Astyanax mexicanus: one gene and its partner. The protein of the gene in region 2 purifies or fractionates together with the protein of the main gene of each other region. This does not show direct contact. Links are inferred from orthologs where the notes say so. Each region holds a gene or a part of one and is shown on either strand. Other genes may lie near its edges.

The links.
Region 1: the proteins of traf7 (region 2) and map3k3 purify together in Homo sapiens (affinity purification with mass spectrometry; 5 studies listed by BioGRID and IntAct, with this or other methods). This does not show direct contact. The link is inferred for Astyanax mexicanus from reciprocal best matches to the Homo sapiens genes TRAF7 and MAP3K3.

What each region holds. Positions count from the first base shown.
Region 1 is NC_064426.1:21,051,046-21,062,007, forward strand, and holds the start of map3k3 (mitogen-activated protein kinase kinase kinase 3), read left to right. Parts: upstream 1-5,493; 5' UTR 5,494-6,573; intron 6,574-8,116; 5' UTR 8,117-8,502; intron 8,503-10,962. UniProt on the Homo sapiens protein: Component of a protein kinase signal transduction cascade. Mediates activation of the NF-kappa-B, AP1 and DDIT3 transcriptional regulators.
Region 2 is NC_064426.1:13,727,816-13,739,206, reverse strand, and holds the start of traf7 (E3 ubiquitin-protein ligase TRAF7), read right to left. Parts: upstream 5,032-11,391; 5' UTR 4,891-5,031; intron 1,674-4,890; 5' UTR 1,637-1,673; coding exon 1,502-1,636; intron 1,396-1,501; coding exon 1,338-1,395; intron 1,048-1,337; coding exon 956-1,047; intron 1-955. UniProt on the Homo sapiens protein: E3 ubiquitin and SUMO-protein ligase that plays a role in different biological processes such as innate immunity, inflammation or apoptosis. Potentiates MAP3K3-mediated activation of JUN/AP1 and DDIT3 transcriptional regulators.

The DNA of each region.
Region 1 (10,962 bases), about 7.3 Mb from region 2:
GAGTTTACTCGTAAAAATGCACATATATTATATGATATTATATCATGGTAATTTAAGCTTCTGAGCTCAAAAATTGTGGACTGCCAGGTAAAACTGCTTTCAGTGGTCCTGTGTGCAGGTGATGCACTGTGATGTGTTCTGTGTTCTGTGACCTCCTCAGTCAGTAGATAATGTGTGACGTTCCAAAAAATCCAGACCTGGAGGGCAGCACAGTGTCCTGCATGATTTGAATTATTCATTTAGGCAGGTGTTTTTGAGTAAGGAAATCTACAAACTGTACTGGATACAATTTGAAGGCCTTCTAGTCTATCTAGTCTTTCACATTCTTCTTTTTTCAGTCACTTAAACAGCTCTTTGATTTGAGAATATATCTGTGTTCGGATCTGCTGTTGTATTCTGTATTGAATCATGTGTTTTAATATACATTCTCTCAGAACAGATCTAGCCACATCATTCAGTGCTGAAATGGAGGCTCAAACTTGGCTTTGTTTCAAGCAGCTCTGTGAGTTTGCAGTGTTTGGCCCTCTGCTTTAACAGGGGCACTGGAGCTAGAGATTGAGGTGGTTAGTGCTCCATCTGGTGTTGGGAGAAGGTGCAGCACAGTTGACAGTTTAACACATAAAAAAACCTATACTTTCTTTTATTTTCTTTGTTGAGACCCATTTATATTTTAAATTGGCTGAATTGGTTTTATAATGGAGTTACAAGGCTAATCTTGCTGTAAAATGTTATGTAATAAGTTTATAGTCATCCAAAATTGAATTATTTTTGAATTATCCAAAATTTAGTCTTTTTACTTCTTGTAATTTATTACCACATTTTATTTTATTACTTTTGTTGCTCAAAAAAAATCTGTCTGCTACATTTATGGTAAGGGAGCACATTTTTGTGTAGGTTTATTTTTTTTGTCAGCGCCTCAAAAGTTAAAGTAGCTGTTTGGCAGAAATCGAGTTAGTACAGTTTTGCTCTTTTACTTTTGAGCCAAAACACTAGGCCTGTCATGATGTATCATCCTAGAAATTATTGAGAAACAATATTATTGTCATTTTTAATGACAAACAATAAAAAGGTACAAGGCTAACTTTGCTAACATGATTTATGTAGTCCATAGTCATCCAAAATCAATTTCTTTTTTTTTTTTTTTGTGAATCTTCGACTTCTTATACTCATACCATTACTTCTATTACTTTGGCTACTAAACAAAGTGGTCCAGTGTTTTAGAGCAGTTTGACTTTGCTAAAATTGAGTTTGATCAGTTTTAACATCCTTAACTCAATTGTAGTTAATCAGCTGAGACAGAAATTGGCTTCTGTAGTTTAAAAATTCAGTGATTCTTAATTTTTTGTTCGACGTCTTGTATCTACATTGTAAATTAGATTTTTTTTTTTTTTCTTTTTAAATTTTTTTGGGCCAAATTATTTACTTTATTTACTTTTCACTTTATTTACTATTCACTTTCTGAGTCCATTAAGAAAGCATGAGAGATGGAACAAATGTCATCATTTGTAACCTGATTACCACAGAAGCCCTTCCTGTTGTTCTAAATGTTGGAGATTACTGTGAAATTGAATGCGCTGTGAGGTTTCGAATAATCATACGCTCTTAACATGAGCCAGAACAATATTTTCTTACCAAGCCGTAGAATAAAAACATTATTATTCTTATTATTGTTAATAAAACACACATCCATTTCAGGTTCTTAGAGAAAGGAGAATTTGTACAGTTTGGGTTTGTATTTGAGCCCAGAACTATTGTCTACTTCCTGGACTGTTCAGATTACTTTGTTTTTTTTCTCTGTAAATTTAAAGTCTGCATTTTTTTCCCATGTTAAATTTTTATTTTTTTGTTAGTTTGTTCCTCACTGGCACAAATCACTGTGTTTACATCAATGCTCCTCAGATATGTGGGCCAAGGTACAAACCTACACCATATCCTGTCTAAAGATTGTGTGTGTGAGTCTTTTCATTTTAATAATCATCAAAAATGGGGGGGGGGAAAGCGTACAAATGTCCTGTCTCTGCCTGAACGTAATCGTAAAGTGTGTGTGTATATGTGGATGTTCAGTAGCTGTAAGATTGGATTGTTTAAGGTAGGACAGATTTGAATAAAACTCTTATTTTGTAAAGTAGTAGACCGTCAGCATGGGTTGAGTGAGCTGAGAGAGAGATGCGTGTTTAAACCAAGTGGATTATTCTCTGTCGAAACTTGATCAGTGGAGTGAATCTGGTGGCCTTAAAACAGCAGGATGTTTTTGGCTTTTTAAGGTGGCGCTTTTACTTTGAATCTTTCATTCCCACTCTGGAGTCTTTCAGCCCCTTCCTCCACAGCACTCTGTTAAACCCAGAGATCCCAGACAACCAAAATGTGATGTCTTTTCCTTACTCCCTTCAAATCCACACCTTTACCCTCCCCACCCTTCCAGTCTTTTGTGTTTCCTTTCTTCCCTTTTTTTAATTTTCATTTTTTGTACACGCTTTTGGAGAAAAGAAATAAAGAAGTTACTGGTGTTCATTTGGTCTTGTGTGTTTCAATTCTTTTAAAACAGATGAAAAATATATACCATTGTTTTTAGGCCTGTAACAATAATTATTGGCTTGCAATTCATACCCCTTAATAAATTGCAGTGTGAAACAATATTTCCAAGTTATAAAGCATATTTTATACATTTTAGGTGAAATAATGGCACAGTGTAGAGCGCAATTACATCCAATAAACAGTTAGCTAGAACACAAAAAAAAGATATATATATATATATATATATATATATATATATATATATATATATATATATATATATATATATATATATATATATATATATATATATATATATATATATATATATATATATACACATTTATATACATATATATATACATATATTACATACACACACACATCATTGAAAGAGCAATCAATAATTAGTTGAGGGCAAATGTTAATGTTCTTTATTTTGTACGTTTAGAATTATGGTAAGGTCTGTAGCCAATAGGGGGCGAGTTAGACTCACTGTGTATGTGTATGTGAGAGAGAGTATACAGCCTGTCTAGCCCGCGGCTAAGCGTATACTCCAGCTACAAAGCTACACAATGTTACAGGCAATAAAATCCACAGCGTTTTAGAAGCTAGTAATAAAAGCCAAATAACTGAAATAGCTTTTGCCTTTTAAACCCTTTCAGGTCACTGAGCTCTCTCCACCGTTAAAACGCCAGTCCAATTATAATTATAACGCCAGCCAATATTAATCCTGGTTTTAGCACGGATTCTTCTTTGTTTTTGCTGAGTAAATGAGCTACTGGGGTCTGAGTTTCCCCTACTGAAATCTGCATTTAGTAACGGTACGTTCACACTGCAGCGACGATTTGATGTTTCATTTCATGATGTCTCTTAATATTAAACTCCTTAATTACGGCAACTTTTAGACTCTTTTGCCCGTGGTTCTGCGCAATAACTGCACACTTTCTCCGCTTTTAGACTCTTTATCCCTTTTTCTGCGCTACAACTGAGCACTCTCTCCGCTTTTAGACTCTTTGGCCCGTTTTCTTGCGCTACAACTGAGCACTCTCTCCGCTTTTAGACTCTTTGGCCCGTTTTCTTGCGCTACAACTGAGCACTCTCTCCGCTTTTAGACTCTTTGGCCCGTTTTCTGCGCTACAACTGAACACTCTCTTCGCATTTAGACTCTTTGGCCCGTTTCTGATACCTAGCATTCAAACTTTGAATCTCACATTATAAAAACCTACTTAACAGCGGGCCAACTTTCATTCTATTTCTAAAATACCGCTCCAAAAAAGGAAACGGGCCGCAAATGGCCCGTGGGCCGTAGTTTGGACACCCCTGGTCTACGCTGTCATACTTTTATCTAAATATCTTAAAAAAGTAAATTTTTGCTGCTGCTGCCGCTCTTCATAGAGAACAGTGGGAGGCATTGCTGTAGTGTGAACATACAGTAAAACAGAGTCGGATCCTCTTTCAGAGGCTGTATGTGTGACGTAAGTACGTAAAGACGCTTGGCGTGACCAGAAGGACTCCTGCGAAAAGCGACCCGAGATCCCAGCTTTTAGAATAAATATATTAGGCTTAGCAGGGATGGTCATTCCAGCCCACTGGTACCATTAAACATAGTATTTTGTCCCTTCTCCGTTCAGAAATGCTTCTGCTCTCAGTGTAGAAACAAAATAATACGAACTGTCACTTTAAGTTGTGGCCCCAGGAGGCAATAGGTCAGATAGACTTATCTGTACATGTGTTAATCATGTTTGGCCAGTGAGTGGCGCTGGCGTGGCGCTTTTCATTTACAATACTGAGAGTCCAGATAAAGCTAAATCTCTCTCAGCTGATCTCTGTTAGGGGAATTCCAACTTTTCCCCAAGAAATAGGTTTTTAATTTTTCAGCCCTTAAGTGTAAACAGTGGGTATGGTGTGCATTAGTTATAGCCAGTTGAGTGTATATTAAGGTTTCTTTACAGTAGTGATGAAAATAATGAAAATAGTGGCCACCCTGATTAGAATACAAATTTAGGCATTTTATTTACTATACAAACCCATCAGTAAACCAACACACACAGTTTTAAATACAGGTTTAAATGTAATGATGTTAATGATTGTTAAATGCTACAAAATCATAAAATCATCAGGGTTCAAAAACACTGGTCTAAAGTATCCATTCAATGCCATGTTTAGTATTAATAATCATAGTGTTACCACACCCCATTGTTATGCAAATTGTTTTGTTTTTGTTTTAGTTTTTGCCTCTGCAAATGTGTGCTTTCTAGTATTCAGTCTTATTTAATTATTTAATTGCAAACTATACAAATACATGATCCTACCAGAACAAGAAGATTCAGGACAGAGGGGAACAGAATTTATCTTTTTGGGCTTTATTTATTTGCATTAGTTATTATATTCGAATTTTAATTCTTAATTTTATTGTTATGGTAAATAAAGAAACAAAAAAAACTAATAAACACATAAATAAATTCTTCACGAGCTTGTGCTCTCTGCGCCTGCTCACTGTTCAATTACAGAATCGCATACAGTGTATTAACGCCGTGATTCAGTTTGGCAAACCGATTCTTCCTAACAGTATTTTACAGTGGGGTCGATTCAAGTGTCGATACGTCGATTCATTGATTCAAGTTAACTACCTCTATTTATCCCCCCTTATAGACTCCACTGTGCATTTGTGTTTATAATAAATGTTTTTTCAGCAATGTTTGAGCAAAATCCTGCTTAGGTGCTCCTTAAGCCCAAAAAAATAAAGTTTGTGAGAATCATTTGTGAGAATTATATTTTATTAAATTTATTACATTACGTTATCTAACATTGGATCAGCCCTCAGTCTATGCCAATTATTGCATAAAAGCGTATATAGGTAAATATATTAATTATAAATACAGTCTCTTCAGATCCAGAAAGTACAAAAAAGGTATATCCTAACAACACACAATTCTGTTCGGACTCGTGAATCGGCTCGATGGTTCGAAAGAACCGATTCGTCTGTCCTAAGGACTCGAATCTCCCTGCGACAGTGGTGTTCGCTTAGCTGCATGAAATGGATGGAAGTTAGTGGACAGTAAGCGGTTTCTATTTTTTAAAAACAGGGGGATTTTTTAAACACTGCTGTAGAATTTCCTGCTGGATATAAGTTCTATTTTTACAACTTTTTCAGTCGTTTTGAAGGAATCAAAGGTTTTTGGGTTCTGGTGTCGATTTGGATTTTTTTCATGTCAGGAAACTCGCAGCGTTAGAAAAGATTCACTCCAGACTTTGCGGTTTTTTGATAAACTCGTGATGTTGAGATGTGTCTGCAGCTTCAGTCGTTCATTTTATGATGAAATATTCGGATTTTTGGACTGAGAAACACTTATTTTACACTGTTCTGTCGTGTGAAGACACAAACACAGCAACGGAAAACGGATTTGACCATCGAGCTTCGTTACTATCCTTAACGTGTTATCTTTTTTTCTCTCACTATATTAGGTCGATAATATCGTATCTTTGGGTGAAGTGTTAGCGTGTATTAGTTTAGTAAACATTTAAGCGGTTTCTGCACTTGTGTATGAGCATATTTTATCTTTTTTAAAGCTCATAATCCGTAAACCTAACTAAGCTAGCGAACTAACTTAACAGTGCCGTTAGTTTTTTTTCAGGAACGGTTTATACCCCGTTTTTTCGGTGCAAGTGTAAACACAGAATTAGTTCTCTCTCTTTTTACCTGAAAAAGAAAACAACGATAAAAAAAAACTTATGCTCGGGCGAACTGACTCTTTCAGACGTGCAGAAAAAAATCTGCAAACTTAGCAGGAAAAGAAGCCATCAGACTCGCGGAAATCGCCCCCCTCCTCTCTAACTCAGCTCCAGCTCAGCTAGGTTAACTGTTCAGCCACAGTTTAAATGGATTTCTGCACCAAATCTGCTCTTTTTGCTTTCTATTCCGGAGTATACGACACAGTTCACATCTAAAACCGGTTTATTACACGGGGAATGCCATCTAATATCCACAGCAGCTTTCTGAAGAACACGGTCTAAACGCTGGAAAGACTCAGCAGCAGTCCTGAACCTACATGTGAGGTAAGCTACTGTATGTAGTTAGTTCTCTAGTTATTATTGTTCGGTAACAGTTAAGCTACTAATGTAATTTTTAAACACAACCAGTCTGCTCTAGTAAAGACTGTGTCCCCCATTAGTCACAGTCCCTTTAAAAAGAGATGCTTGGGTTACTTGTTAGTAAAGGAGAGTGATATAGCCCTAAATATATATCACAACATTTCATGGTATTTTCATGATAAGGATACTCTTTGCAATATGACAAAACACTAAATTAAAACAGACATCCCAATTTGCAAAAATTAATTTCAGGGAGGTATATTGGAAAAAAAATTAGATCACTTTAAAATAATCAGTTTCTGATTTTGCAATTTAAAGGTATATGTTAAAATAAAATGAGCATTGTTTTTTTTATTCTATAAACTTACAGACAACATTTCTCCCAATTCCAAATAAAAATATTGTCATTTACAGCTGACTCTTTGTAGAGAACAGGCCAATCAAAACCCTCTCTGTTTTGCATACGCTTCATGAATATGCACACAGGGAGCGCCTTTCTCTTCCTCTCCCTCTTTTTTATTTGGGTACAAAAAGTCGGTGTCGCCTGTGTGCACGTTTGTGTTCACTCTTGGGCCACTTGTTCTAGATTCCGGGAGATTTTATCTGATTTGCGGGCATCAGGGAGCTGTTATTGATATATGTAGACTCACGCACCCTCCGGGAGACTTGGGAAGTCTAAAACAAACAAACAAAAAAAAAAAACAAATCAACAGTACACTACTAATTACATTCTGTTATTGTATACGATATGATATGGCACACCCCTAACTGAGATATAAAAAAAACACAATTTAAAAAAAAAAAAAAGAAGTCAATAATCCAGAATGTCAGGTCACTAATAATGCACTCCATATATTCAGCATTAAAGTAAAATAAATGATATTGGACAGATGTAATCTGTCTCTAGTAGATATATAATTGGACATGAGAACAGTGTGAATTTTTCTTTTGCTAAAAGCAGCAAAAATGTAGTACTTTGATGTGATAATTAGGCGTGGATGATATGGCACGATATTTTAGGGTATAATATCGTCCACAATATTAAAAAATGTTGCCGATATTATTGCATATAATATAATATGGCACACTACTACTTGTCAGTTAATTAAGTGTTTACAGAAGAGAGTTTGTTTCCTCTGTACATCAATAGGGAGACAGTCAGAATTATTCATCATTTATTTGCCCTGGCATTTTGAATCCTCTAAGGGATTGTATTCTCTTATCCTGCTATTTTAATTTGGACCTGAACAGTCTCTGAAAATACCCTTTGTCTGCTTGTCATAATATTGTGATCTATATTGTGTATTGTAAAAATGTAATTTATTCATGTAAATATTGCAATATTTTTTGTATATTATTGCCGTATCATATCACACACTTCTAACGCTGGTGTACATTCAACATAATTTGTTTGGGCTTATAATGGACCAAATTCTAAAAAATGAAACTAGACAAGTTATGTAATAACAAACGTCTTGTAATAATCATGTGTTTTCTTTGTTGTCAGTTTGTGCACAGCTACGATGCGAAGAAGACGGCGGCTTCCATGCTTCAGAAAAGTGCTATGTGGAGAAGCTTCCTTCACTATAAGATCATGAACTGACAGCAGACCTGTAGGAAACGCCACCACTGTCCACCCTTGCTCGCTCTTTCTGGACTGAATCTCTCTCTGTGGTGGTGCTGGAGGCCGCAGGCCGAAGGGGCTGCCCCCAGAGGCCCGGGGCCCGGGCAGCGGTTTAGCGATGGCATGATTGCTTTTTCCAATCCAGGAGCAAAGAGACAGGATTTCTGGGGACAGCATTGCTGAACTAAGCCAGTTTCCATTTCTTGATATATTATTTTGTGAAGCTCGAGGCAAAAAGAAGAGAAGGGAACACTGCACTGTTCGTTCAGGTGAGAAAAAGCGTCTTTTATTGTCCTCTGAGTGAACAAATCGTTCACTACAATGCTTTACAGGCATTGTAACCACAAATAAGTGGCTGGCAATGTCAGCTTGAATAAAATGAAATCAGATTGAGTGTATCCAGCATATTGGCTGTGTGCAGAATAGGGCTGCAGCAATCGATTATTTTAGTAATCAAGTACTCTACTGAAAAATCGATTCGATTATTCGAGTAATCAGATAAAACATAAAATAAGAGATTTCATAAAATAAGAAATTTCACTTAATAATGAATGACCAATTAGTTTAAATTTTAAATTCACAACATACATTTCCACATTGCAAACACAAATATAAATAAATAAAACACAAAATAGACATAAATACCTCAAGTAATAATTTAATAATTTAATAAAGTAAGTTAAATGATTTAAACTTAGGATTTCTTGTAAGTATTAAATATAGAGCATTAATCAATAATAAACATTTGCTTTATGTTGTGCATCTTTATTTACCTTTTACACTACTCAGATCTAATGAATTGACATAACTAAGACTAAATGACATTACATGTGTTTATTTATAAACTCCACAGTGCTGATTTACAGTTTACTGATTACATAAAGCCTGTATTAAGTCTAGAACTTGTCTCCATTGTAATAAACTAACCACACATATTAGACAGTATTAATAATAATCAGCGCTACACAGTGCTGTCGTTATGTTATTAAGGTACATTGATGGTCATTTTATTGATTTGTTATGAGTTAAATTTACCTGCTCGCCGCTCCAAAAACCTCTGCCTCCTCTGCCTGATTCCTGTGCATGAGTGATGTAAATCTAAACGCGCTATATTTTACATTAACGTATCTGTATGGGTTGCTGTGGTAATGAACTAAACCTTTGGTGATCTACTAACCTTTGGTGCACTTCTTGGCCCCCTCACTTCTATCATTTTTGATGAGGTTTTGTATGTGGCATTTTGAGTGGTGCAAAGGACATGGTAAAATGTTATTTGAAGTTTTAGAGCAACCAGTCTGAGACACATCTGTACAAATCTAAATATCTTGGCATTTCACAACACTAGGGCTGCAACTTAACGCTTAGCTGGTAATGCTAGAAGACTACAGGCTGATAATACTCACCTGAATGGCTAGCGCTTAGTGGGTAATGCTAATACTGCTCCAGCAGTTCTAGCCATGGTTAGAGGAAGGCTACAGGCCGATAATATTCACCTCTGGATGCCCGAATGGGTAGCGCTTAGCGGGTAATGCTAATACTGCTAGAGAACTTAACTGAAACTCCTGTATAACGCTGTACTTTAGGGGAGTGGCTTTACACTTCCTTACAACCTGACTGGTAAAATTCATACATAAGGTGCACCGGATTATAAGGCGCACTGACTATTTTTGGGAAAGTTAAAGTATTTTAAGTGCAGCTTATAGTCAGAAAAATATGATTTATACATGTTTATAACTGTATGTAATTTTTATTTTAAGATCAATATCTGACACTTAAGACGTTAGGGTCATTAACACCCTCCCCTGAACATCAATAGTGTCGCGAAGCGTTTCATATCACATGTATGACTGGCAGGGAGAGCTTATAAACATCTGGTTTAAGATCCATCAAAATTGGAGCTAAAAGGCTTTTGCTTGATAGTGACAGTATGTTCAAAACATTACACTGTAGTTTTTGTGTGGAAGTGTTAGAGGGTGGTTCATACAGCTTCCTTTTCTCCACCTCGTGGATCAGTTCCCGTTTTCATGAGGTGGAACATCAGCGTGGTGTGATATGACCCGCCAAAAATATAAAGAGGGCACCATCACTGTCATGTCTGGTGCTTGTGGGTAGTGTGGACAGTATTGTTGATTATAATTAGAGTGTTTTTCTTGGTTTTGTTGATGTCAGTTCCTCACTGTGCTTGCTGTTGGACCAGGTTAGGACTGGGAGGTTGTGCAGCAAGCTACATCGACTGCGTTCTCTTAAGCATTACAGGGCTAAATGGTTACTAAGGCTTTGCCGTATCATTGTGCTCTGTTATGGTCTAGTTAGACATATTACGGTTCCTTTTTCAATCTGCCACATTGCTAAATCAGAGCAAGGGAGTGCACTAACATTTGCAATAAGACCCTATCACGATCGGCCTCATCCCACATCACTATTAACTACATCCCACATCAATATTAGCCCTGCTAACATCATTATAAGCCTCCTTCAACATCCCTACTGCAGCATTAGCACACCTGCTATGGGCTTCGTCCCACATCACTATCACAATCAGTCTTGTACCACATCACTATCAGCCTCGTCCAACATAACTACTGCAGCATTAGCACACCCGCTATGGGCTTCATCCCACATCACTATCGATTTTGTCCCACATCACAATCAGCCTCATCCAACATCACTACTGCAGCATTAGCACACTGGCTATAGGCTTCATCCCACAGCCTCTTTCCACATCACTA
Region 2 (11,391 bases):
CAATAATTCCTGAATTCCTCTGTTCACATAATTATTAAAAAATATGTCCTCAGCCAGGAAGCAGTAAGATCTGGACACTGCAGCTGGCTGGATAGAAGAGGACAGCCTGCTGGTCTCTCAGGTAGAGCCAGACCTCAGCAGTAATCAGAGAACGATAAAAACAGAAAAGCAATTCATCAGCAGAACTAACGAATGCCCACTGCACTGCAGCATATGGACTGAACATGCTTTTTCACCTGTTCTGCTGAACACACAGTGTGAGCAGAGCAGAGCAATGTACTGTATACTGTATATCTGTATCAGTGTCAGGCTACAGAACTCACTATCAAATTCAGATTATTGACCGATAAAGAAACAATTTATTGCCCAGATCATAATCTGTCATTGTTCCATTACAAACCACACAGAAATCTGCAATAGTCCAGAACATAGAACCTTCTTCTTGTATTTACTTTTTTATTAATTTACTTTAAAATTTACATTTAGGAAATTGTCTCTAAATGGCCAACTGCATCCAGAGACCTGATATTTTCAAGTTCCTCCTGAACTGCACCTGAAATCTAAAATTACAAGCTTTACGCTAAATGTTTTGAGCAGTATTTGACTGCACTCAGCCACAAAAAACCTCAGTGCTGGTATGTAATTTTGATCAGGTTTGAAAATAAAGTACATACAAAAATCATCCAAAAGTACTTCAGCACTTTAAAACATCTTAAAAGGAATCACTCCAACTCACACCACAGATGTTAAGTGTCTGTTGTTTTGTAAGGATATCTTATACATTTAGACATTTAAACTGACTCTGTATGTTAAATTTTATAACCAGTGTTGATTCATCACCAAAAACTCTTCAAAGCATAGTCTTTGGCTTCATCTGGTTCTGGTAAACAGGCACGCTGTTAAAGTAATAGGCAGTGTTAAGAAGTGGACTCCAGCAGAGCTGGACTGTGATTACCATGCCATCATCGTCGTCCCGTGGAGAGTAGGTCAGGGTGCTGGAGGACGAAGGGGTCCTGCGGTGCTGTTTGTAATTACCGGTCGTCTCGGCTGAAATTTCACAACATGGTTATTACAATGGATCAATCTCACTGCACAGCCCGAGGGCGTTCAGGCTGATCAATGGTAGAACTGGGTCAATCTCCACTACTGTTTTATAAGTTCAAGTTATCTACATGCAACAATTTCTAATATGTTGCTGTTGATGTAAAGATAATCAATCACCTAAATAAGCTATAACAAGCTGAGCCAGTGTTTCATTTTTACAATGCAGACCTAGCAGATCATCTGTTTCCATATTCACAGAAATATAAATACAGTGCCAAGCAGCTTGTGTTTACCTTTGCTGACTGGAGCGACTGCAGAAAACGTGGGTCCAAAAGTAGATTCCATTCTGGTCTGCATGAAGCATCACAAACAGTCAGACATTGGTGTGATTAAAATAACTTATGGTCTTACTTAATAATACGCTTTTTTTTTTCTAAAAAGTACCATAAATTCACACCTCCACTGTATTCGTTACTGACGTGAACAGCGCTGTGTTTCTCACCCAGTTACTGACATCAGATAAACTACTAACAGTGGCATCAATGGGCAATCCTCCTGAAAAACGGTTGTAGCACGCTTTACCGGAGTTCATAATCCATCAAAGCCATGTAGAGTAGGGCCTTCACAGCCTGCAAACAGAATACAGCATTAAACACTGTAAAGATACTCCCACCTCATACAGTCAGATACACTCACTTTTCACATTATTTAATTTTTTAATACTGTAAAGTGCTAAATTAATTGGTACCGTGCATGGTGGCTGAGCATTGCTAATTGGCTACTTTGATGCGACATCACCACATTTCTAATTGGGTGTTGCTAAGCCATCTCACTGTCCCAGATTACACTTATAGGCCTGCTAGGTGGTTGTGATGGTCTCATACATGGTTAATAGTAGTGCTGTGCAATAAAATGATAATGATAATTATTGCAAAATAACTTTCCCTTAATAGTAATGTAATAAAACTTCGGGGGGAAAAAAAAGTCAATAAAACTTTGTCATGACTCGTTCCGGGGACGTTTCAGACAGACAATGGAAACAGCTAATGAGAATAGGATTAGCGCCACGCTGAACCAATCATGTAGCTTGAATAGAGTTTGTGAGTGAGATAGTAAGTGAGTGAGATAGTAAGTGAGTGAGTGAGATAGTGAGTGCTCTGTGCTCATGCTCTGTGTGTGTGTGTGTATGGTGGTGAGAGTGCCAACAGCAATCATTGTAAGTTCTAGCAATATAGCTACATTAAACGCCTTTCTTGGCCATTCTTTTAACGCGTTCTGCCGGATGCTTAAATATGATGCTAATAAGCATTTATTTATTTGGAACTGACCAGAATTTCAACAAAACAGAATTTAGTTTACAGTTAGTTTACTTCGTTATTCTGTAACATTTGACCTTTTGAATATACAGGATTTAAGTTTTATATTTTTATTTATATTCTCTTACTTATGGGTAAAAATAACATTTAAGTGTGACAGAAAGTGATTTGATTTATATCATGATAAATATCCATATCCACTGACATGGAAAACTATATCCTGATAAGATCTTCTTTTTTTTTCTCCATATCGCCATGGTTGATAGGATGTTGCTACGTGAGTACTATCTTTGATAGAGTTGTGGTGGTGCCTTTGGTATAACACAGTTCATTGCTTATATCTTGGACAGGTTAGATGAGAAATCTATGCAAAAAAAATGATTGGAGTAAATAATAAATTAATGTGCAGACCTAACAGTCTACAGCCACTGAGAGATGTGGTAATGCTCGACTGTACAGATTTAGGTAACAGATTTGGGTGAAGTGCAAATATAAGATGGATTAGAGCGACTGTGACTCAGCTGGCTGAGGTTCAGGAGGCCAGACAGAGCAGTAGTTTCCAGTAATCAAACACTAAACAACACGCTTCAAACAGCTCATCCTAAGGTGCGGTGTTGCCAGCACTACTCAAACCAGAATGAAGGAAACCACAGAAATAATTATATAACACAAGGAACTAATCAGTTTCTCACAAACAACACACCCGAAAAAAGTGAGAATTATTTAATCCTGAAGGTGTAAATTGAGTGTAACATATCCTGCTATACACAGTATGTAAACACTTTATTTAATATATGTATATTTAACATAATGCTGCAAAACAACCTGATTTTAATACACAAGTTTACAAGCCTATCTATTAAGTCTACAGCACTTTAGCCAGACCAATTCCTGCTAACATTATTAAGACAGTTTTAGCCTGAGCTCATTTTCACAGAGCATAAACAAGAACAGGACTCTTTTAGTCTGCCTAATTCTAAGGCATAAAAGATGCTGAAATAAATAAATAAACAAATAAATAATTTTATGAGGGGAAAAACAAAGAAAATTTCTGAACATGAGATCTCCACACACATATCAGCATTACCCAGAAAAATACCCTTTATATTTAAATGATTCAATGAAAACAATGTGACTAAAATCCTTCGGAGTGGGTTTGGTGTAAAACACTCCCTTCTAGAGAAACTTACCCAGTCATAACTGTTTGCAGTGGCAGGTAATGGAACCAAGCCTCTAAACCTCTAAAAGCTCCCTCCTAGATTGTTATTAAATGAATAACATTGCCTGATACATGAGATCTTGGTCTAATACATGTCTTTAATATTGTATATTTATTTATATTGTTATAACATTATTATAGTGAAAACAAAAGCAGTCCCTTGCATTTTACTGAAGAAAATATTTTCCCACATTTAACAATCATCAACATCCATATAAAACTCAGAAGACAAGTGTAGTTTCACTGGTGGGTTTGAAAAGTAGACAAAACTGCTATATTTGTGTGGTAGCCCTGGTGAAGCCTGGTTCCACGTTTCACCACTGTAAAAAAATCCACTAACATTATAGGTCAGGAGGCCTAATTTCACTCCAAACCCCACTCTGACTGTGACACTGGTGAAATTCCTTTCAGATGGATTTGTGAAGCGTTTTTCCAAATCAGGGAAAAAAGCACCTCAGCAAATCATGAAGGAACCTATTGAAACTACATGATACACATTTGCAATAACACCTTAAAGTACATCCAATTGAACCAGCTATCAATTATGTTTCTTCCTGATTTATAATGGAAAATAAATATAGTTAAAGTGTGTTTCTATCAGCTGGAAGGTCGCAATGAAACCACCTTTATTACACATACATTAGCTATAGACATCTAATTTAGCTACTGAAGTAAACCTGAATTATCCAAAAAAGTCATACAGAGAGGGCTGTAAGAGCATAAACACAACACATCTGAACACCACTCAGCTAACGTAGCTACAATTCAGGCTAAAGTTTCTCATTGTCAAACAAAAAGTCAACCTTTTATAAGTAACGTTACCTAAAGAAAATAACAGTCTGGCGCTTTATATGAAAGAGACGGACTGTCGGTCTCCAGTCTCAATTTTAATAATCCGGGTTAAAACAACCCAAAACTAAGATCAGAATATAAATCTATTTTCTGCGTTAGCACTGGCTAAGCTAAGCTACGCGATTCCAACTGTCAGATATGCGTAAATATTCTTCCAGTCAAACCGACAGCAGCGTGAAAAGATCGACTACAAGCACAACTTATAAACTAAACCCACCCCGTAATCTGTTTTTGCTGTTTTTGTATAAACGTGTGTTTTTGCTACAGCTCGCCACTAACTAGGCTAAGCTAACAGCAGCTCGTGAGAGGCTTCTTTCCAAACGCGGGGGAACTTTTCGCCATCACTCCGTTCTCTCACACATTTGCGCATTAAAACGACGTTTACTCTAACATTCTTCCGTTTTTATCTTCTATACAAGTATTTACCACTACATTTACCACAAAACTAAAGATTCTCACCTGTAAGCGAACTCTGCGGAGAAATTCTTCATTTTCTCTAACGTTTTCGCAACCACGCGCGAAGGATTCTGGGAAATGTAGTAAGTAAGCTGTGTAACCGTATAAGGTGTTGCAGATGCGAGCAGAAAATGGAATACAACTCCCACAGTTCAACATCGCGCTATGTTTCTAAATATGCAAGACTGAATAGTCCGAGGTTGCGTTTCTTAAGGTGAAATAAATATTATGTAGTATGTAGTATGTAGATATTTAAAATGTATCATTTGAATAAGTGAACGAAAATATTGTCATCTTGTATCAACAATTTTATTATTAACTGCATTTCTGTCCTTTGAACAGATGAATCTGTGAAAGAAATTGTGTTTTTTTTTGTATTAAATGTGTTGTTTAGTGGAATAAGTTAAACATCCCTGTTAAATGTGTTTTCATACATTTTGTGGAGGTCCAGTCGGAGGAGGGCGCTGTTCGATCAAAGCATACGTGTTCTTTTCTCGTTTAATTACTGGAGAGTTTGTTTATGGTTATGTTATATAACTTACTGTATGTAAATAAAAAATGATTAAGTCTGTTTTTTAACGAAATATGTACATGCCGGCTAAAAAAATAAAAAATATGGAATTTGCCAGGCCCTCCTTGCAGCAAAGCAGCAGCAAACAATGATGTTTCCACTTCCATGCAAAGACTTGGTCTTTGGTTCTTGTGCTTAAATGCTGTGCTAGGTTTGCACCTATCGTGCCTTATGTTAATATGCCAATGTGTTATTTTTTTGGGCAGCAAAGTTTCTCACATGACTTTTTGGCTTATTTCTGATAGTAGATGCTGCCCTTTAACACTGACTTAGGTGAGAGCTATCTGTGGGTCTTGTGATTAAATGTTTGGTTTCTTTGAGATTTTTTTTTACGCAACTTGGGGGGTCTGTTCTTGAGCAGCTCGGATGCCATGCCCTGGCCATTTTATTAGCAATTTTACCTGGAAATGATTTAGGGGATAGTGGAAAGAGTGATTTTTAATTGTTTTGAGATCTTTGTAAATATACTGCCAGATTCATCTGCATCTAAAACTTTCTTTCTTAAGGCCTCAGAGGGCTGTTCGGATGTGACTATGGTTAAACTGCTCACCTCAACCGAAATATTGCCCTCTCTGATCATGGTCTGATCATCTGCAGCTAATGTGCTGCATTTTAATCTAATTTTAGTAGTAATAAATGTAAGATGTCCTATCAAATGATCTTAAAGACAAGACAAAGCATACAAGTCTTAGTAATGCCAAAAGAATCAGTGATGTCATCATGTGATGTCTAGCGTTTGGGAGAAACCAGATGTACCCGTTGCTCTCATGCTGCTCTGAACTTTTGGGTTTTGGGGTCAGTATGTGGGAGTGATGGTGGTGGTCCTTCTTGGGGGATCTGGTCTAGAATTTCCCCTCGGGGATCAATAAAGTATCTATCTATCTATGTATCTACAATACATATACACAACACTTATTTATCCAATTCTTGAGTATGCTAGGTCAATCTGAAGTGGACAAATAACTTAAATAAAATGGAAAGGGTACAAAAATGTTGCTGCAGGATTATCAGCTTCCAATCACTATCTCTTCCACTGTTAAGCAAAAAGTGTGATAAAGCTACCCTGTGCACCCTCAAGAACGTACTTGCAGATAGCTCATTTCCTCCGCATGGCTTCTTGCCTACAGCACCTATTTCCACTTTCTCACTTTGTTTCCATCAAGGAGAAGTGCCCATGAGTCTTTCGGTATTCTGTATCACTGTACTAATAAACAATATACATTTTTATTATACATTTTTCATTTTAAAATGCCAGATAATTTTGGGTCATGAAGTTCTTGACACATACTCAGTTGAAGATAATGTTTATATTCTTTATCATTTTTATTGGTACAAAAACATGAGTGCACAAAGACTTTCACTGAATGTTCTACCTCAAAATAAGGTACAGCACCGCAACAAGCTTTGTACTCTTTTAAGTACAAATCTGTATTTAATTTGTCTTAGTGTGTTGGACAAATGTGTCAGATCTCACTCTTTATAAATTGTTATAAATTATACCGATACTGACAGGTCTAAATGTTTAAATATGTTCAAAGAAACAAAGGCTCTGCTATACTAAGACTGACACTGTAAATTAATGATACACACTGCATTAGGAAAACCAGAGGCCTGATCTGTTATTGTGTGTGCAGATTGTATTCAGCGCTTAAATATCTTTTTAAAAGAACCAGTTTAACATTTATTTGAAGCTCATGACAAATGCAGGATTAATGCTACTCTTACATGCTGCAGAAATTAAGCATCACATGACTCTGCATTAATTAAACACTCCTGCTGAGATGTGGGTCAGAACTGAGAGCTACTGGGAGAGCCAATCCAATCTCCTTCACATGGTTTCTGTAGTGTTACAACAAGCGTGAATGTGTGAGAGCAGGAGATGCTCATGCTGGAGGGGGAACAGCTTTAATGGATGGGGACTGGAGAATGTTTGCTGCTGGGGTGGAGTCTTTGAAGGGTCCAACATTTCTGTGACTTATAAAGCCAGAAGAATCTGAACAATGGAACACGTCAACTGTCTGCCTTTGCTCAGTGGTTCCCAGAATGGGATCTGGTGATCGCTTGGAGGTATAGAAATATATATAAGGCTGGAAATGAATGCTTCACCTGCTTAACACAGAAGGCAGAAAGCCTTTAGCTGATCTAATTGAGTACTTCCACTGAATAGGAGCATGATTTTTATTCCTGTTCACGACACTGCAGCACTCAAGTTGCCCTTAAGTGCTTTTACCCCTCAGCTCTTGAAGCGTCTAATGGAACAAACGTACGTCAAATCCTGCACATAAGACACAGGGTAAGGCTGTCAGCTGTATTCAGTGCATTCTGGCTTCTGAAGGACAAAAAAAAGAAAAACTGCAGCCTCAATACGTAAAAGTAGAAATGCAGTTCAATCTATGTTGAGTCCATGTGACATAATACACAATACAACTACTGTTTATGTTTATAAGTAAATAATCTTAGAATATTTACACATTAAAATTAGAAAAGAAAGATAATTTCACAATTCTCGGCAGGCATGTCAATACAACCCAATCCTGGCTAATCCTGTGCCAGCCCACATCCAGGCTCACAAAGAGGCCACATCCAGGCCCAATCCTAGGTACCAAAGACATCAATTCCAGGCCACATTAAAAAACAATCCCAAGCCATATTTAGGCACAATGCCTTTTCTAATCCTAGGTCTTATAGAGGCCTTGTCCAAACCCTCGCCCCATCCTTGCACAATTATGTGCAATCCACACCTAACCCTGGACCACATACATATAGTTTTCACATCCCAATCTCAGTTGGTGACAGACTAAACCCAGTGTTTGTTAGCAGCATTCTTAGCATCTTAGCATCCTCTGTTATACTATATCAAGATATCAAATGTGATTTGGCTTTAGACCTTCTACTGACTCTCTCTAAATAGATATTTTAAGAAAACTGTCTGAAATATCCATATAGTTTTTTAGGGACAATTTTCTTAAATTTAAACAGCCCTACTATATTAATGATAATACTAATTATGTTATTAACTATTTTCAAATACCTGTACTATAAAATATGATTATATATCATAAAACAGTGTTAACCACAAAAGCTTTGTGCTTAGGCACCTGTCTGGCATTTTTGTTTCAATTCAGCTACAGTCTCAATGGAAAGAGATGGCGCTGACACACATGTTTAGCTGTGTGTCTGTCTCATCTCACACCTCCTAATGCAACTGTGTGAGGTGTGATAGTGGAGGAGGTTTGGCTGGGAGCCCAAACAGACACACGACAGATGTCCACTTTATCATCTAATGGCCTAACTTCACATTCTCTCTCCATAATGGACCTCCACTATATCATAACCAACACATCATACATTACCAGAGCTACATATGACTTAATGACAGGGTATTTTTAGCGTTTTTAGTGCCCAGTCTGCTAAGCCTTCAGATAAAAAGAGCTGAGGATAGGCCTTCTTAAAGACAACCATACTGGATGTGACCCCTTTGAGTTGCTAAAGATTGTAGAAGTAGTAATACTCCAGTCCAATAATAGTCAGCAAAATACAAACAAACAGCAATGCAGAGAACATACATGTATAAATATACATGTATAATTTTATACTCATATGACTCAAAATAGTGTTTTTCTGTTGTGTTTGCTCTGCTCTTGTTCTAAAAAGTCTCGCAGTTTGTGGCAAAGACTGTGTTTAAACCTCTCCAAACAGCACACAGTGTCATACTGAAGAGGAATTTGTCCATATTAGGGCATAAATAGTGGGTAAAAGACCTGCTGATGCAAAAAAAAATTCAGTGGCCTTAGTTCTTATAGAGATTCTAAACTTGGCAAATACTGAAGAGAAAAAAAATCTTGCTACTAACTTTCCACCCGTTTTATGGCACTCCCCTCCTCCTGTGCGGATTGGCTAGCAGGTTGTCTTCCCTGATAGGCAGACGGCTTCCGAATATAAGGTAGTAGCCAATCCCAGCGCGGGGACGGGATAACACCACCCAATCGTAGTCGTGCGGAGGCGGGATGTTCATAAAATCGGGTGGGAAAGCGAGTAACAGTGCGGTCAGTTACATGAGACCCACTTTATATCGTCCTTTTGTCGAAAGCATTAGATATAAAAGTGTGTGGACCTCATAACCCTCCCGAGAGCTTCTCCGCGCCTCACTTCCTCTCACTCTAACTCGCTTTAACAGCTCGCTGTCGCTTTCCGCGGCCACTTTCCCCAGCCTCTTTCGTCCATTCAGCATCGCTTCAACTTTTAGCTTAGCATCATTTTCCCCATTTTTTTGCCGCCACTGCAGCAGCGGTTGGCCGTTAGCGCTTCCCTCCCCTCAGAACCAGCAGAGAATAGATCCGTATCCACACCGTTTATCACTATATTTACTGTTCTTATCAACTGACTGAAGGACCCCAGTGCTGCAGCAGACTGGTATATATGTGCAGTTGGGGACTTGGATTTACACATATCGCCAAATAAGGAACCGGGAAGAGCATCTCCTCATCAGCTGAAGGTAAGAGAGACAGCACCAGACACCACCATATAGACACAATATCACACACCAAAATACACCTAAACAGGCAATATAACCACAATATATACTGCATCAGACACACATATAACGTACATACAGACAGTTTGTGACTTGGATTTTTTTCTGTTTCAAAAACAGTTCCAAAAATCTATTTTTACCTCCCCCGTCAGCCTCGAAATGATGCTGTTATATAAAACTGCCGTTTACCTCAGCCGACCCCCCATTTTTTTGATCGATGGGATCATTGATTAATAGCTAGCGACAGGTAACGTTAGTTAACGCTAGGTTAGCTAAGCCAGCTAGGCTTCGTTTCTGCTTTAGTTTACTAGGTTACACAAAATGCAGCAGCGCAGGGTGTTTCACACACGCACACACACACACACACACACACACACACAGGTCAGGCTGGTTCGCCCTGCATCACGCGAGACAAAACGGTGAAAGTTCTCAATAGCTAAATGTATTATATCAAATTATCTTCACGACTTTATCCTTATAAATACTTCTTAACACTTAAATCTGCACTGAGTTCAGTTTAGTGACAGGTCTGAAGCAGTTCATGCTTATTAGCCAGCATAACCTATCCTAACCGTCCTAATTACATGCTGGAAATATATTTTTTCCAGGTTAGTTAGCGTTAACATGTACTCATAAATCATGCTAAATTGTGTGAATTTATTATCGTGCACATAATCACACACTGTAATTTACCACGTTCACAGGCCAAATAGAGATTCTTATAAACCCAGTTCATTTACCAAATGTGTACATTACCAAAACTCTTTAGAAATAAATTAGGGTTCCTGTCCATAAGCTAACTTACCTTTATTTGGTAAAGAACCTTATTTTAGGTTCTTAGAACTTTAAAAGAGGCTCTGTACATTTACATATATTTTACAGCTAAGGAAGCACTCACTAAAATACTGGTTCCTTATGGTAGGTAAAACCTAATGAAATAATGCTTAACACATTTATCAGTGACCAGTAGTGACCATCTACCACATGGACTTATTTATGTGCACACAGGCATGACTTAAGACTATTCTCATTCAACACCCTAAAAAGCCAAAAAAAACCCCAAAAAGGTTTATTCAAACACATCAGTACTGACCTACATGAATGCACCGACCTATATGTACGATTTTAGGTTTATTCTTGTCCAGCAGCACCTTAAACTTAAACCACATCTTAGCTTTTCAGTGGCCTACAGAAAATACACTACACTTCCAAAAGTATCCAGATGAAATGGAACCATGCGTCACAGTCTATGACAATAACACAAGTGTAGACATTTTAATTGCTAGCCAAACCTACCTAAGTGTCTCTTCTAAGTTTGTATTTGGACAGTGTAAACAAATGAATTTTCTTTTGGAGGCTAGTTTTGCTGCGCACCCTGCATGTATCCCTTCACCACTCC